Arabidopsis thaliana: one gene and its partners. The protein of the gene in region 3 interacts with the protein of the main gene of each other region in a pairwise test. Each region holds a gene or a part of one and is shown on either strand. Other genes may lie near its edges.

Region 1 (4,974 bases), on a different chromosome or scaffold from region 3:
CTTTTTTTGAAAACTATAACCATAGAACATCATAAAAATCAAAACTTTAGTTTATAAGAAGCCAAAGAGACAGAAACACCTAAACCATCTTGAGCTTCATCTTCTAGCTTCGCTCGTTTAGCCTGAGAAGAATCAGATGTTTGATTGCTATCATCCACGATATTTCCATTAAGCTCAACTTCGTCGAGCTTTCGCTTGAGATCGACAGGCGGCGTAGAGATAACAACAAAATCTTCCTCCGTCATCTGGAAACGAATCGTCCGGCGAGGAATTTAGGGAAAGCTGAGTACTGTAGGGTTTGGGGAAGAAGAGAATTATCTCCGGCAGTGAAAAGAGTTTGGGTTGCGACTCTGAACGGTGGTGGAGAAGTAACGTTTAAGGCTTTAACGTCTATTTATAATGTTCGGGCTTTTATTGGGCCTAAAAATGGGCTACCAGTTTTTTTTTTAAAGTTATCAAAAATAATGATGTTTTCTTTGTTGATCGTCGAGGGGATGTTGTTGAGACGATAGCTTCTACTCAAATTTTGTAGAATCGACAACATAGTAGAAATTTGTAGGGTCTTTATTTCCATTGTAGTGGTTTTATCGACTTTGGACTATGTCCTCCTCTCTATAATAGTTTACAAGCTTGAAACCCCAATGAAATCCATAACAAAACCCACATATAGCTTATGAAATTCTTAAGATCAAACATAGAAAAAGGCTTACCAACTGGGATTTTCAGTCTCTGAACATACATAAATCGCTACGGTAATCACTCTGCAGTGTATCCCACGGTTGGGACACGACTCACATACGCGATTTCATAAGATGGTAAACTACTACTTATGCATAGGTACGACATAAACACATGTATTTGTATTCTTACGGTACATAAAGTGATGGACATTGTATGATTGATTCTCCACTGTGTCTAGGTATTGTAGAAAACGGCTTCTCATCTAAGGCTCAAAACCGGCCATGCGCCAGGCGATGGTAGAGCAGGGCGGATCACAGGGACCCTTCTTACCTCTGTGAACACTTCATTGAGTCGAGCAGCCTGACTCATCACCCGCGACGCCTTCTGCACAGATCATAAACAACCCAAGACGTGATAATGATAGAAGTAAACCAACACCAAACAAATACCAACCAAGCAAAGAGATGTGCGCTAAGGGAAAATATCAAATCACAGCATTTTCAGCGGATGATGCCTCAGTATTTTTGTACTTAATTCAGACAGATTACAAGAACATATTAACTACAAAATCTATATCTTAGAGGGGGGTATTGGACATAAATTCTAGATTTTCAGGTATAATAAAAGAATTTCGAATCTTTCTTCTCAATTCAAATAAATATTTTGCAGTATTTTTAATAGAATTCTACTAGAATTAAGAAGATAAATTACTGAAATCTTTTGTTCCACAATGCTCTTTATCGGGACAGCCACCATGCCCAATCTCTAAAAACTGTACTTTTTCCTTCACAAACCTCTTAACCCAGAAACAATCTACGTTGACGTTTACATGAAATGGAAGAGATCCATATTTTGACAACAACGACAACGACGTCATCACAACCTCCGCTCATCTGCTCTCTATAGATTAACGCACTCTCCTCATATATAATCGAACGAATGATGATCCGAAGAATAAACCGGATCGAAATCACAGATTCTAATAAATGTGTTAAACACTCTCCCTCAGATTTGAGAATTTTTTTTGTATGGTTGAAGCAAATCGATGAAAGAGAAAAAAAGGATGGATGTGTTATATTCTATCCAAATCTCAACTCAAAAACTCAGAATTTGTTCTTCACATTTTAGACCAATTTTTCTATTAAATTCTTGTGAAGTAACGTTGTCAAACAAAACTACCGAAAACTGAATAACACTTGCAACTAATAGAATTAAGAAATGAGCAAGTTAAATAACACAAGAATTTAAAAGAATTTGTGAAATGTCTAATTGAATAACACTAGAATTTAAGATTCTATTGAAGTCTATCAAATTCATGCGTCCAATACCCCCACCTTAATATAAGGCAGGACAAGACAAGAACTAAACTAAACTTGAAATTCTACGGCTCAAGTCAGACCAATTGCATCAACACAACATAGAGTGTAGCTAACTCCTAAAACGTATCAATCTAGACCAGCTTACCAACTTCAAGCAAAATGAAAACACAAGGGTCAATGATAATATAGTGTACCTTATCGTCAATCGTAACTTTAAGATGGAACCTTTGAGCTTTCTTCTTCATATTATACAATCTACGTCCCAAGAGAACCAAACCCATCACAGCAGCAGCCATAGAGACAGACCAAACCGGACCAATCCTAAACACAGAGTACTTAAGAAGCACAAATGGCATCTTCCACCACACAGTCTCTCTACTTTTACCCTCACCACCAGAACTCACGCCTCCAACTTCCACAGTATCTCCTCCACTTCCCTCAATTACTTCACTAGAAGCAACTACACTATCAGAAACAACTTCTTTTTCACCATTCACAACCCCAGAATCTCGAGAAACCAATTCATTTCCCCCTAAATCAGAACACAACTTGCTCGAATCCTCAATAGGTTCTTCAACACCCGATTCGTTCTCACCGTGCCTTCCATCAACGAATTCTTCGAGATTCTCTGTTTCATAGTGAGATACGGTTCCACCAGTTAATTCAGTAGCAGCTTCGCTCTCAACATATTTCTCATTGGCAGCTTCAAAATCACTAAGCCTAACCTCACCATCACCCAAAATTCCAGTTTCTGAATCATAAACCCCAAATTCATTTCTGACACAATCATCACCCGATTGACTAACACTGAACTGATCCAAACCAGAATCAACACTAACCTCACCCGGATTCAGACACTCCGACCCGTAATCAACCCGAAAAGAATCAAAATAACCCGATTCAATCACCCGATCAGTAGCAGAGAAATGATCAGAAAGAATCATACCGTCATCGATTACGCTTGAACTCTCTAATTTCGTCTCCGATGTGATTGAATCAGTTGATTCTGTATCAGAGCCATGATGAAGAAGCTCCCAATCATCCATGATGATCGAATTCGAAGATTTCAGATTGGGATTGCAATAATCAGAAACCCTAATGGATAAAACCCCAAATATTGGAAAAGGATCGCAACAAATTAGAGCGGTTGATGATGGAAAAGAATGGTTCTTATCCACTTTGAGAAAGTAATTACGTGGAGGTATCTAATTGGTTGCGTGTCAATCTCAGTCCTCAACTAAATTTTTTGGCATTAAAGTTTAGTAGATTCAGAGAACTATAGTATTTATTCATTTTGTTCTTTCATTTTTATTTTATTTTTTAAAACGATTTAATTAGGATTCGGCAATAAATCGTATGGTGCGGATCAAATGAATTAAACAAATATGTATCGGTTAAAATAGAGTAGACGATGTAAGAAAAATATATATAATCAAGATTCAAACGGTTGAGGTGGGTTTTGCAAATAAATCCATCGGTAGATTGAAATATTTTCTTATTTATTATTTATAGATTAGTATTTATAATAGTACTGACCAAAAATATAGAAAAAAAAAATCGGTAAAAACTTTAGACCGATTTTATATAGAAATAAATTTAGTTTATAACGGATTATTGTCCGCTCCAAAATTAAATGGTTTAGTCTCTAATAGTTTAGTTTGTTTCGAAAAGAATGGTTCTTATCCACTTTGAGGAAGTAGTTATGTAGAGGTATCTAATTGGTCACGTAACATTCTCAGTACTCAACTAGATCTTTTGACATTAAAGGTTGGTAGATTGAGAGAAGTATGGTATTTATTCCTTTTGTTCTTTCATTTTTTTGGTTTTTCACAATGATTTAATTAGGGTTCACGACGAATCGTATGGTGCAGATCAAATGAATTAATCAAATACTAGATGATTTACCCGAACTATGTACAGGGAGAAATAGTTATATGAAATATATAAACAAGTTTTTGGAAACAGATTTTATATTATCACTTGATATATAAGTGTGAATATTTGAATATGATTTAGTAACTGATATATTTTGGAGATTTTATTAGTTAGGAATTAGGATATTCTATATTTGGAATAAGATTTTAAATTAAAATATTGACCCAAAAGAAAATCTGAAATATCATTCCTATAATTCAGAAATATATTCGAATATTTTTTGTATTTTATAAGATTTTATTTTGGAAACAATTCAATATAAAAACTGAAAAGAGTATGAATAATTATGTTTTAAACGTAATAAATTTTTGATTATCTTTTATTATTCTTCATAATTCTATGTAGTTAGGATTGATTTATTGCATATCCCTTATTTTATTAATCAATTTATATTGTTACGATAAGGTTTTGGGTTGTAAATAAATTTTAACTAAAATGAGTAAATGACTAATTAAATTGAATAAACTGTGTAAAAGTTTTAATAAATTGATAAGGTAAAAATTTGAAAAGAAATAATATTGAAAGTAATCAGTAAGCGGATACATTTTTAACATAGATTAATATTGAAATATTGTTCATAGTGAATGTGTAATAAATGAAATGTTACTAACTAATTTATGTAAAACTATGTTCCGAATATATTCAAGAATCATATGGGCTCACATATACATTTAGATTTTTTGCAATTTATAACAAAAAAATAGAATGTCATATATGTTAAAATTCTAAATGTTTTCTATAAAACCTAAAAAAATAAAGTACGAAACATATAATAAACATTTATATTATATGTTGTTCATCATAATTTATGATATATACTTTTTACTTGTTTGCTCAAATATATATGGTTTTTTGATTAATTTTCTTTATTAATTGCTACTCTCTTAAATGTAGAGGAAAAATATGCATAAGTACCACTAATGGCATTATATGTAATTAGTCTAGTAAATATTGGATAACTATTAAGTTTGTTGAAAGTTTTTCTGGTTACGACATGTCAGCATGATAGTCTTGTAAATCACACGTGAATGTAAGGTTT
Region 2 (3,312 bases), on a different chromosome or scaffold from region 3:
TGTCTTGTTCAATCGTTTCATTAGGGGGATTAAAACAGCATTCTACTGTGTGTTTCTGCATCTAGCTTGATTAAAAAACAATTGATTTATGCAGGAAAAGTGTGAAAATCTAGAGGATGCAGGGAACGAGTTGATCCTTGCTGATGAGGAGATGGTGCGTTTTCAAATAGGAGAAGTGTTTGCTCATGTGCCGAGGGACGACGTAGAAACAAAGATAGAAGAGATGAAAGAAGCGACCTGCAAAAGCCTTGAGAAACTCGAGCAAGAGAAGGAATCAATTGTAACACAAATGGCAGCGCTGAAGAAGGTATTGTATGCTAAGTTCAAAGATTCTATCAATCTTGAAGAAGACTAGTTAGTAGTTATTCCCAACTTTGTTTTTCTTCTATTGCATCAGTTTATGATTCTACTGTGAGTGTAGACCAAAGGATTCTTGAATTTAACATACTGGTTTTGTTCATTATGAAATTTCATCTGGTTAATGCATACTTTTCTTTTTCTATCGGAAATTATGTTTTTGGCAATTCTATAAAATACCATAACACCAATTTGTTTTTTCCCAGAATTTGTATACATTCAAACAAAATGAAACACACACGCCAAAATATAAATACAAGAATCTTTGGGAAATCCAAAATACAAAGCCCTAAATTGATTCCCTTAGCTTCTTCAATCAAAAACCCAAGAAATTACGAGTAATTCTCCAAACCGGTTTACTCAAATTGGGGTATAACTCGACGGTGGCCGGTTACCAGAACCGGCAGACACCAGGCCACCACGGCGAGCACTTTCTTCATCAAGAAACAAATCATCGGTATTACGAAAAGCGCCGTGAGCTCCGACGATGAGCAAACCAATGATCAGCGAAACCAGAACGTTTTCGCCCACATCTGTATATACCAATGCCAAAACCGTTACCAAGCTGAGTAAAACCAGCACGATCTTGTCATCTACTTCTTTCCCCGAAATCACAATCGAATCGTTTGCGTCTCGAGAGAAATAGAGAAGAATCCATCCGATGAAGACGACGATGAAAGCGATCATAGACATCGGATGGTAAATAAGGCCGAGGAAAACAATGGCGAGAACGGCGAGAGCGTAATTTCCACGGAAATAAGAGATGTTGTGCTTTAGATGCGCCATGGCTTCATCATACCCGCGAGGGAGAGAGAGCGCGGACAGATCGAGAATCTCTCGCCATGGACGGAGCGTCGTGATCATCGATTGCGTCGTCTGCTTGGCGCGTGCACTCAACGTCCCGATGATTGTGGTGTTGGAAGTGGAAGAAGGACCGACTCCTCCACCACCAGCGCCGCCATAACCGTACGGCGGAGGTTTCTGATTCATCGGAATTGGTTGATTTTGTGTTTGAAAATAACACAAATCTGTGGTCAAATGGCAAAACCTTGGATTTCAAAGAGTCCATGTGGAATATGGGATGATGGGAGGGACTTGTTCGGTGATTATTATTTTCTTTTGGGACCTTGTAGTTTTTTTATTATTACAAATAAACCATAAACAAATCAACTTTTACCGATCGCCTCTATTTCCACATAATCATGAATCGTCATAGTTTTTGTAAAATTACAGAATTGTGATGGATCTAAGTCTTCTAATGATATTTTTGTTTTTGCTGATCTTCTAATCTTTAATCGCTAGAGAAGAGATATCGTTATTAATGGATAAAAAATATGTTGAAATCTTTCGAACCAATAGGTTCTCTTTAGTGAGTATCTGACTGAATAAAAAATACCAACATTTCACGTCGGTAGGCTTCTTAGTGATGCCTGAATTATACAGAAGAAATTGACCGCCAATTTTCATATATACAAGAAAAAAAAAAAACAAGTAGAAGCTTCTTCATCATCATTTATCTCTTTGCTTTGGTTTCGATTGGTTTAGGTCTAGGAGAAGAGACTGAGCCACCACCACCACCAAGTGCTGCAGCTGCTGACTCCACATGTGTGAGCAGATACTCGTAGATCTTCTTCCGTAATCGATCGATTGTTTCCTTAGAGACTTCTTGTAACCCTTCTTCATCCTCTTTCGATCCAATCTCGTCTAACCAATCATTCACACTCTTCAGCTGAGACAGCATCCCCGCAATCTGCCCATTATCAGACAGACTGAGACTGGATGATGTAATCACGTCAGCGTCTAAGAATCTCTCTACGAAACCCAAAAACCAATCTTGTGAAACCATTTGCAACTTCTCTGCCAGATCAGTTGCCTCGTTTAGACCATTCCCTTTCACCCAGTTTAACGGTGGAGACTCTGACCCTGCTACCGAGGTGGCTTTCTGGCTGCTACTGTTCTCCCTGTGTTTACGGATCATTCCTTGTGCTACGAGTTTAGATCCAATCGTTGGCTTGTTTTGAATATTCCCACGGGTTTTACTAGAGGAATTATTACCCGGGCTCTCGAGTATGATCACGGGTTTGCTCCTGGAGGCAGCAAGTTTGGCTTGTTTGCTGGAGTAGACAGAGAAGGGCGATAAGTTAGTGACTAACGCAGCTTGGACCCATGAGGCTGCCAATTTCTGCTTTTCCGATGCCGCTTTTATAGCTTCCTCGGATCTGTTTTCTTCATTATCTGGGGAGGACATCAAAGAGAGTAATTTGGACAATGACTCTGTTATTACTTGGACGTTTTTCAAACCGGAATGGAGCTTCAAGAACTGCTCAACGACTGGCAATGGATCATCTTCCTTCGCCGTTGACAAAAGATCGGAGTACATACTACAAAAAGGAAAAGCAGAACAAAGTTCAGAAACCACCAAGGCAGTAACAATAACATTCAGATACAAAAAACATTTATGTTTTGTCCCTCAAACATCCAAAGCCGGCCTGAATAAAACTTGGTTAAGATATTACGCACATGAGGCACTGAAGTAAGCTCTCGGAAGCAGAGGCTTCTTGCAGGGCCTCTATTGCGACTACTTGAGCAGCTTCTCTATGCCTCAATACTTCCTGCAAATATTGATAGCAGCAATGACTCAATAAGCTGTCTTAATATTTAATCACGATGTCAAAGACCAAAACATAAGATGCATATGCTATACTAAGAGGTTCTCTTCAATCACCAGAGTAAATATGTTAGTTTGGATGATCGAATTTCTAAACTGCTTGTTTTGAAGATGAATTTTCTTAATCACTAGAAATGCTTCAAAGCCTATTAATGAAGCAAGCACATATAAGGATCCAAGAGCAGTCAAGGCCATACCTGTCCCATCCTCGAAAGAGATGGAGGGAGTGAACTCCATTGGATATTGGCCGCCGCTAATCTTTTACCATTAACAGAGACTTTGACCAA
Region 3 (7,822 bases):
TTTAACGAACTCGTGAAGATGTCCATTGGAAAAACAATTAACTTCACCTACTCTTTCACCTATCCCATGTTCTTATCTTTAATGCCTTCAATTTTATCTCCCTTCCCAAAATACCCCTCATACTAGCCCTAAATCACTTAAAAACCTGCCCCTCCGATCTTTCTTGACATACAAGAACACAACAGAAAAGGGAACCCTAAAAGTTATTATCTTATAAGCTACTTTTGGAGATATCTTCACGGAACTGAACAAACCACTGTGGGGTTGTTGTATCTGAAGAGTGGCTCTCACGCCGTTCTTCCCCTTCCTGTACTTTTGCAGGCGACGGTAACTTCTTTGGAGGTGGAGACGGGACAAGTGAGAGCAGAACCCTAGAGACCTCCTGCATGGTGGGTCTCTCCAAAGGATTTCGCTTGGTGCACAAGAGAGCTAGCTGAAATGTTTTCTTGATGTGTCCTGAGTCCATGCAAGTCACTGAGACCTCTGCATCAACAGCTTCCATTACTGTGTTATCATCCGCCTTTGATAGAATCTGCAACAAAAAAGTTAATGATATCAAATTGTTTCCAAGAATAAACTTGTGAAACACTTTATACTCAAATTCATACCATTTGATGCAAGTTGGCCTCGTTATCCACAGCCTTCTTGCCGGTTAGAAGCTCAAGAAGGACAATACCGAAACTGTAGATATCAGACTTCTCGTTCAGACGCGAAGTTCGAGCATACTCTGGGTCAATATATCCAATGGTTCCAAGAACATAGGTTGAAGCATAAGTTTTGGTGGCTGGTATGCTCTTGGCAATCCCAAAATCTGACAAACGCGCTTCGAAATTCCCATCAAGGAGTATGTTTGATGACTTGATGTCTCGATGGATTATCCTAGGTGTGCAGTCATGGTGAAGATATGCAAGTCCTTGCGCAGCTCCAACAGCTATCTTCAGCCTTGTTTCCCAGTCAAGCTTCACCTTCTTCCCAGGCCCTGCATCATACAATCACTACGTTTAAGTCTTCCAAAAGTAGAAAACTGGCTGAAAAGAACGTAACTGGTCCAAGAGAAGAAGAATAGCAAACCATGGAGAAGATCCCAAAGAGAGCCATTTTCCATGTAGTCGTAGAAGAGGAGGTTGCCAAAGGGAGATAAGGCGTATCCGTGCAAGCTTACTATGTTTCTGTGTCTGATGCTCCCAATGGTCTCGAGCTCTGTTTCAAACTCGCGGAAGTTGCTGGGATACTGATTGTAGATTCGCTTAATGGCAATAGGTCGGGAAGTTTTGGAGGTGCACTTGTAAACTGTGCTAGAAGCACCGTATCCAATGATGTATTTCTCATCGAGGTTTTCTGTAACTCTCATGATATCATCAAACGTGTGAATAGCCATGTCCATGTGAAGAATCACCAGCTTCGTTGACCCTGAAGGATCCATACAAGATATATCATAATGCTGTTGTGAATCTTAATGAACGAAAGAGAAGAGATCATAAACTATGAGACCAAGACCTTCAGGTTGTTTTGAAGAGCCTTTCAAGACTGGTTTCTGCTGCTTTGACTTGTAAACCGCAATGAATATCATGCATATGAGAGTGATGAAACCGAGAACCATACAAATCACGGCAACTCTGGTGAATACTGGTTGGTCAAGAGCAAGAAATGTAGTGAGAGATATGTCAGCTAAAAACAATGCAATAGGATAAATGCAGATTCATATACCTTGTGACTTAGGTAAAGATGGGCCACAGATTGATCCAACCCAGTTCCCGCAGAGAAATGGATTTCCAAAGAAGCTATAAACGAAAAGGTATATTTGGTATACTGATTATATGAAAAGCTAAGACAGGTAACAATATGGCAAAGGTGATACCTGGCCGGGGAAAAACGTGTAAAGTTCTTCATAGGTGGGATTATTCCAGAAAGATTATTGAAGGAGATGTTCCTACAATGTATAAAGAACGAGCAGGAAAAATATATGAATTCAGAAATGATCATAAGATTATCTGAGAGTACACATCTTGTTGTAACAAAGGAACACGTACAGATTGGCAAGACTGAAGCAGTTAGTTAGCTGATCAGGGATTTTCCCATGAATCTTGTTGTTGTTCAGTATCCTGTACATTAAAGAAGCAAAGAAGAATTATTTATATGCATTATACGGTAAATTGCAGAGGAGAAGTGATGGTTTACTTACAGAGAGTTTATGTTCTGCAACTGGCCAAGTTCAGTTGGAATAACACCGGCAAGAAAATTAAATGACACATCGCTGAGAAGGATGGAGAAAAGTTTGTAAGTAGGAAGATTTTATCATAACAGAAGAAATCTAAGCATAAGACAAGCCTTACATGATCTGAATGCTTCGGAGGTTCCCGAATTCTGCAGGCAATGTGCCATTCAGATGATTTCTGCTCAAGTTTCTGACAATTAAAACAAAACTCAAGTCAACAAATCTGAGAGAGTTAATGCAAAGCAGTGCAACTTTAGGGCTTGATGAAGACATACAAGATGAGAAGATGCTCAAGATCACCAAGTGTTAATGGAATTGAGCCTGAGAAATTGTTGCCAGACAGATCCCTGAAACAAAGTTTGTATGAGTTGGTAGTTGGTACACATATCAGTAGGTAACTAGGCGGAACATGGATGTAAATCAGTAGAAAATAACATACAATGTATCAAGATTGATGATATGGCCAAGCTCAGCAGGTATTTTGCCCTTGAAACTGTTTGAGGAAAGATTTCTGCAATTTACAGCATTGAATCAAGATTTACACAGACTAATAGTTCGAATACATAATCATACTGTACATGCAGTCATTGAAGCTTACAGATAAGTCAAGCTTCCAAGATTCCGGAATTCAAGTGGTACAGCTCCACTCAAGAAGTTCCCATGAACATTGCTGAACACAATAAAAGCACAATAAGTTTTCATTAAGATAAGAAGAAGAAAAATAGAGAGAAGCATAAAATGGGAAAGGGTTCATATCATATCTTACAATTGATTCAAGGCAGCACAGGAACTAATGTTAGATGGAATCAGCCCTACAAGATTGTTGTTCGCAAGATTCCTAGATGGCAAAGTTACATCAACCAGCTTTTCACCTAAGATAAAAATTTAAGTATACTGAAGGATAAAAACTCACAGTTCGAACAATTGTTCCAGCTTCCCAAGCTCAGGTGGGATCTTTCCCACTAGTTCATTATCATTTAGTTGCCTGCGAAAGAGTAAACCCTCATAAGATCAAGTATTGAGAAGAACAGATATTGGAGTTTCAAGTTCTCAATCTTACAAATAGCTGAGTCGTGACATATTGCCTAGCTCGGGTGGGATTTGTCCAGTGAGCTTGTTGCCATGGAGATACCTATTTTCAAGAAAAGACATTATCCATATATGTGAAGATCTGAACATATGCATGACACAGAGGGAAGAAAAAAAAAGGGACTCACAGTTTTCCAGTGAATGACAGATTCCCAAGTATTGGTGGAATAGGCCCAGTTAATTCATTGTCACTCAAATCCCTGCGCATTGGATAAGTTTATTTCATTCAGTCAGAAGAGCAAGAAACGAGAGTAGGAAAAAAGCAAGCATTTGAATATGAAAATGACATACAATACAGCAAGAGCCTGCATCAGACCAATCACTTCCGGAATTCTGCCAGTCAACTTGTTTCCTTGAAGTGACCTGCAAGAGAACCCATCACCACTTAACCATATTGACATGCTTTAACAAACCACACAAAAGTGTAAGATGGTCTTAACAATACTTACAGAGTAGCTACTTGGAGGAAACCAATATTGTAGGGTATAACTCCGGTAATCTGATTATAAGATACATCCCTGAAAATGCAAATGACGAATAAGATCACTCGAGTTCTGTGCTGAATATTCATTCCTTAAGGAGAAGACACATACAAGATCTCAAAGCTTGTGCAATTGCCAATGCTCTCTGGGATAGTTCCAGTAAGGTTGTTGCCTCTCACATCACTAACAACAACAAACATTCACTTATAAATTACTCGAAATCTGAGGTTGAGAGTAAAAGAAAATAAAGAGCTGAACCGGATTCACTTACAAGTACCACAGACCCGTCAGCTGACACATATCAGGAGACAATGTCCCAGTTAACATATTCCCACGTAAACCGCTGCAAAATGAATACATCACAATCAGAACATAAATCTCTGGATGCCTAGACTTAAGATAAGTAGATGAACTACTTACAGATACTGTAAAACTTCATTCCAGTAGAGTAACCTTGGTATCTCACCAGTAAGCTGGTTTCTTGCGAGGTCACTGCAAAATCATGAGAATAATCTATTATCATTGCAATGATCCCTTTGCATTAAATAACCTGCTTCATAGATAGAATATTATCTGATTGAAACTCACAGGGTCTTAAGGTTTGGAATCTGAGTTAAGGTTGCTGGTATTGGACCAGTGAGCTGATTATTCTTTAGGTTCCTGCATTAGAATGAAACAGTTGACAAAAAAACGCCAAAATCAGGCAAAGATTACACACGAATGAGAGAGATAAGAAGACATACAGAAACTCCAGCTGTTTGAGTTTAGAGATTGAAAACGGTATGTCTCCAAACAACAAATTGGTGGAGAAATCCCTGAAACAAGAAAGGTTTTTGATTATATAATAGAGATAGATTAAGTTCTCATTAACATGAAACTACAAGCATCAAACAAAACTTACACATAAGCAAGAGAAACACAGTTTCCAATCTCATCTGGAATTTGACCACCCAATTTATTTCCTTGCAAGTCTCTGTAATTAAGAAAGACCAGAGCTTCATAAGGATTTAACACCATGTTTCTTCTCAAACATACAAGTAAAAGAGAGAAGAGAAACGAACATTGATTGCAGATTCATCAAATCTCCAAGGGCAGATGATATCTCTCCACCAAGATTCAGGTTTGACAGATTACTTCCAACATAAAAAAAAACAAAGGCAAATCAGAAAAGTCTGAAATCAAAGAGACAGCACAACAATACGGAATGAGATAAAAAAAAAATCCTTACAGAGAGACAACATTGAGGCTAACGTTATCACAGAAGACACCTCTCCAAGAACAAAAGTCGTGGTTATGAACATCGTCCCAATCAAGAAGCATATTCGCCACGTTGCTGAATGAAGCCTTTATCGCCATCAACGCTTTTCCTGTGCAAAATCAAAAGCTTTTTGAAGTCAATAAACAAATCAAAAAAAGCTTATTTAATCATTTGACACTGATGATAGTCAAATGGTAAAATATGAACCACATGCCAAAAACTAAAACCCCACTAGATCATTAGTATAATAAACTCAACTGTGAAGTGAGCTAGGTCACAAATTATTATCATATTTCCAAAAACACTAAAGTAAGTTTTTTTTAAGAACGAATCAAATGACTTTTGCTCTCTCAGGAACAGTCACTGTTTAGATAGACAGATAAACAGATATGATATCTTCAAAATCGGAAGAAAGGTTACAAATTTATAAAAATTCAAGTTCTCTGGAAAAAAAAGAGAGAAATCTCTCTGGCTCATGGAACAATAGAGAAACAAAAGAGATTTTGAAAGAGCTAGAACCTTCGTTGTTCATTGGAGAAACAGAACCAAGTAGCATGAAAACCACCATCCCCAGACAAAAAAACAAGCCTTTCATGGTCTCTATCCTTCTCATCTTCTTCTTCTTCTTCCTCAAGAGTAACACCACGAAACCCAGAAAACAAGTAACAACCTTTTTTGGTTAAAGACCTCTTTTTCTGTTTAGGGAAAAGTCAGATCCTTTGAAGCTTTGTAGCAAGAAACGAAATTCAAACAAAGAGCAAAAGAAGGGTACAAAGTCGTTCTGCCATTGTTGGGAGAGACCAAAGGAAAAGAGAGAGGGGACCGACACAGGAGATTAGCGTGAACTGGAAGGAAAACAGAGCAGAGATGTTTAAAGAAGAGAGAGAGAAAGAGAGGACAGTCTACATTACTAGAGGCTGAGCTCCGACGCCATGAGAGAGAGAAACTTTAGTACCCTCCTATTAGACAACGACAAAATAATGTCAGTAACATATATACATACATTACTATCATCACTTGTTAAACCCTGCTAAAACATCTCCGATCATCTTAATGAGACAGTGATCGAAATGATTTTTTTTTGTTTTTTTAGTACTTAACGGTAAAGTAACGGCGTTAAACGGAGATTTATTAGGCCGTATGATTTGACGGCGACGGTTCTAAGAAGAAACGCCGTTTTCCAATGCAAAGGTGAAAAAAGAAGAACGTCTTTTAAGAGTCCGGTGAAAAGACATTCCTTTGCTGGGTAAAATCCCGTTGACGCGCGCGTGCATCATTATTAAATTTGATCCAACGGTGGATAGAGAAATCCTATCGTGGACTGCGATGTAGAGAATCAAATTATGCTCTTCCTTGTGATTTTTAGTTAATGCTTTGATAGTGATTGGGTGAAAAAGATGCCACAAACCGGATTGGTTTAGTACTATCCTTTTATCGATTTGAAAATTTTTCTTCAGCTTTCAATATTTTTTACAGTTTTTCATGGTTTTATTGCAACATATTATCGATCAGAGTTGTCTCCTTTGATAAAATCTTTCTATTTCTACCTTGTAATTAGATTGATTAATTTTGGGGTCGATATGGTACCACTAGGTTGAATAAGTTGGTAGAACTGTAGATTGTAATAAATAAAAAAGTAAAAAAAAAAATGTAATAAAAAATGAAAAAAAATGAGCAGTAATTTCACTGTGGATTCAGTGTTAAACAAAAAACACAAGAGCAGAGATCGTGTCTAAAGCTATGCCTCCGTATAAAGCTGTTACTCTTTCTCTATGGAAGCTATCTTCATTAAGCAATTATTTGTATACTCTTTTAAAATTTGTAGGCAAAAGTCAATGTGATCATGAGAATTTTACATGTTAGCTTCAATCAATATGATAAACGCTCAGCTGATTACATGAAAACTATGCCGATCCATAGTTAATGAATATTAGTATTTGTTTTGAAGCTAACATGTAAAAAAAAACTCATGATCACATTGAAAATGAAAACTAAGGTACTGAAGTGACTGATCAAGTTCAAGTCAGAACGTAGGGTCCAAAAGATATCCGAGAAATATTGGTCAAACCCCGACCGTCCGATTGAAACGATGTTTGATCTCGTTACTACTCGGTTGCCCTAATGCTTTGGCAGCTTCCTTTGTGCCAAAATCTCATATCTCTCCTCTTTCCATATTCCGAATCCGACATCAAACACAATGCCAAAAGATGATTTTTTCAATATTAAAATTTATATGGTGGTAACGTAGAGAACAGAAAAATATATATCGAGTTACGTTGGTCCTCTTAGCTTAATATGGACCGACCGTATCTTCTTCCTTGCTGGTTCCGATCTTGATTCTTCTATGTTGTACTACCTACTATGGTCAAACTTTTTGATATATGTGTAAAAGTATGTATTAGTAGATTATACCATAACATAATTCTCCCAACGAAAAATGCCGTTTAATACTTTACTAAAACATTATACTGGCTAAACTAATTAAACTAATCTTTGTAATTTAGCTGAATAACCAGTAATTTTTCTTTCAAACTGTGAAATTATAGAAACTTAAGTAGTGGAAACAAACTGCGACAGTAAAATTATATCAGTAGACTCGGTGACCATAAAGATTTATGTAAATCCACAAAAACGTAAAAGGAGACGGGGGCTCGTATATCCACAAGATTTATATAAGTCTTGTGGAGGTTCAGCTGTATAAGCAACTCTAGGCTTTTAGACTCGAACGGTGCATGGCTCTAATATGTAAGAAGACCAATCTGTACGCATTCTACAGTA

The links. Proteins that work in one complex are often made in the same cells at the same time.
Region 1: the proteins of ERL2 (region 3) and AT4G10080 interact in a protein complementation assay, tested with the Arabidopsis thaliana proteins (one large-scale study listed by BioGRID).
Region 2: the proteins of ERL2 (region 3) and PRA1.E interact in a protein complementation assay, tested with the Arabidopsis thaliana proteins (one large-scale study listed by BioGRID).

Annotation. Positions count from the first base shown.
Region 1 is NC_003075.7:6,299,515-6,304,488, forward strand, and holds AT4G10080 (uncharacterized protein), read right to left. Parts: upstream 3,231-4,974; 5' UTR 3,047-3,230; coding exon 2,195-3,046; intron 1,066-2,194; coding exon 940-1,065; 3' UTR 505-939; downstream 1-504. Other genes in the region: AT4G10070 (KH domain-containing protein), read right to left, coding at 80-245.
Region 2 is NC_003070.9:2,806,968-2,810,279, reverse strand, and holds PRA1.E (prenylated RAB acceptor 1.E), read right to left. Parts: upstream 1,521-3,312; 5' UTR 1,348-1,520; coding exon 718-1,347; 3' UTR 505-717; downstream 1-504. Other genes in the region: AIP3 (ABI3-interacting protein 3), read left to right, coding at 95-355; AT1G08760 (GPI-anchored adhesin-like protein, putative (DUF936)), read right to left, coding at 1,871-2,738, 2,878-2,969, 3,223-3,312. UniProt on the Arabidopsis thaliana protein: May be involved in both secretory and endocytic intracellular trafficking in the endosomal/prevacuolar compartments.
Region 3 is NC_003076.8:2,227,576-2,235,397, forward strand, and holds the start of ERL2 (ERECTA-like 2), read right to left. Parts: upstream 6,013-7,822; 5' UTR 5,658-6,012; coding exon 5,564-5,657; intron 5,154-5,563; coding exon 5,015-5,153; intron 4,953-5,014; exon of another isoform or gene 4,920-4,952; coding exon 4,848-4,919; intron 4,760-4,847; coding exon 4,688-4,759; intron 4,602-4,687; coding exon 4,530-4,601; intron 4,447-4,529; coding exon 4,375-4,446; intron 4,279-4,374; coding exon 4,207-4,278; intron 4,130-4,206; coding exon 4,058-4,129; intron 3,970-4,057; coding exon 3,898-3,969; intron 3,823-3,897; coding exon 3,754-3,822; intron 3,668-3,753; coding exon 3,596-3,667; intron 3,505-3,595; coding exon 3,433-3,504; intron 3,348-3,432; coding exon 3,276-3,347; intron 3,201-3,275; coding exon 3,129-3,200; intron 3,054-3,128; coding exon 2,982-3,053; intron 2,886-2,981; coding exon 2,814-2,885; intron 2,727-2,813; coding exon 2,655-2,726; intron 2,563-2,654; coding exon 2,491-2,562; intron 2,406-2,490; coding exon 2,334-2,405; and 17 more. UniProt on the Arabidopsis thaliana protein: Receptor kinase that regulates inflorescence architecture and organ shape as well as stomatal patterning, including density and clustering, together with ERL1 and ER.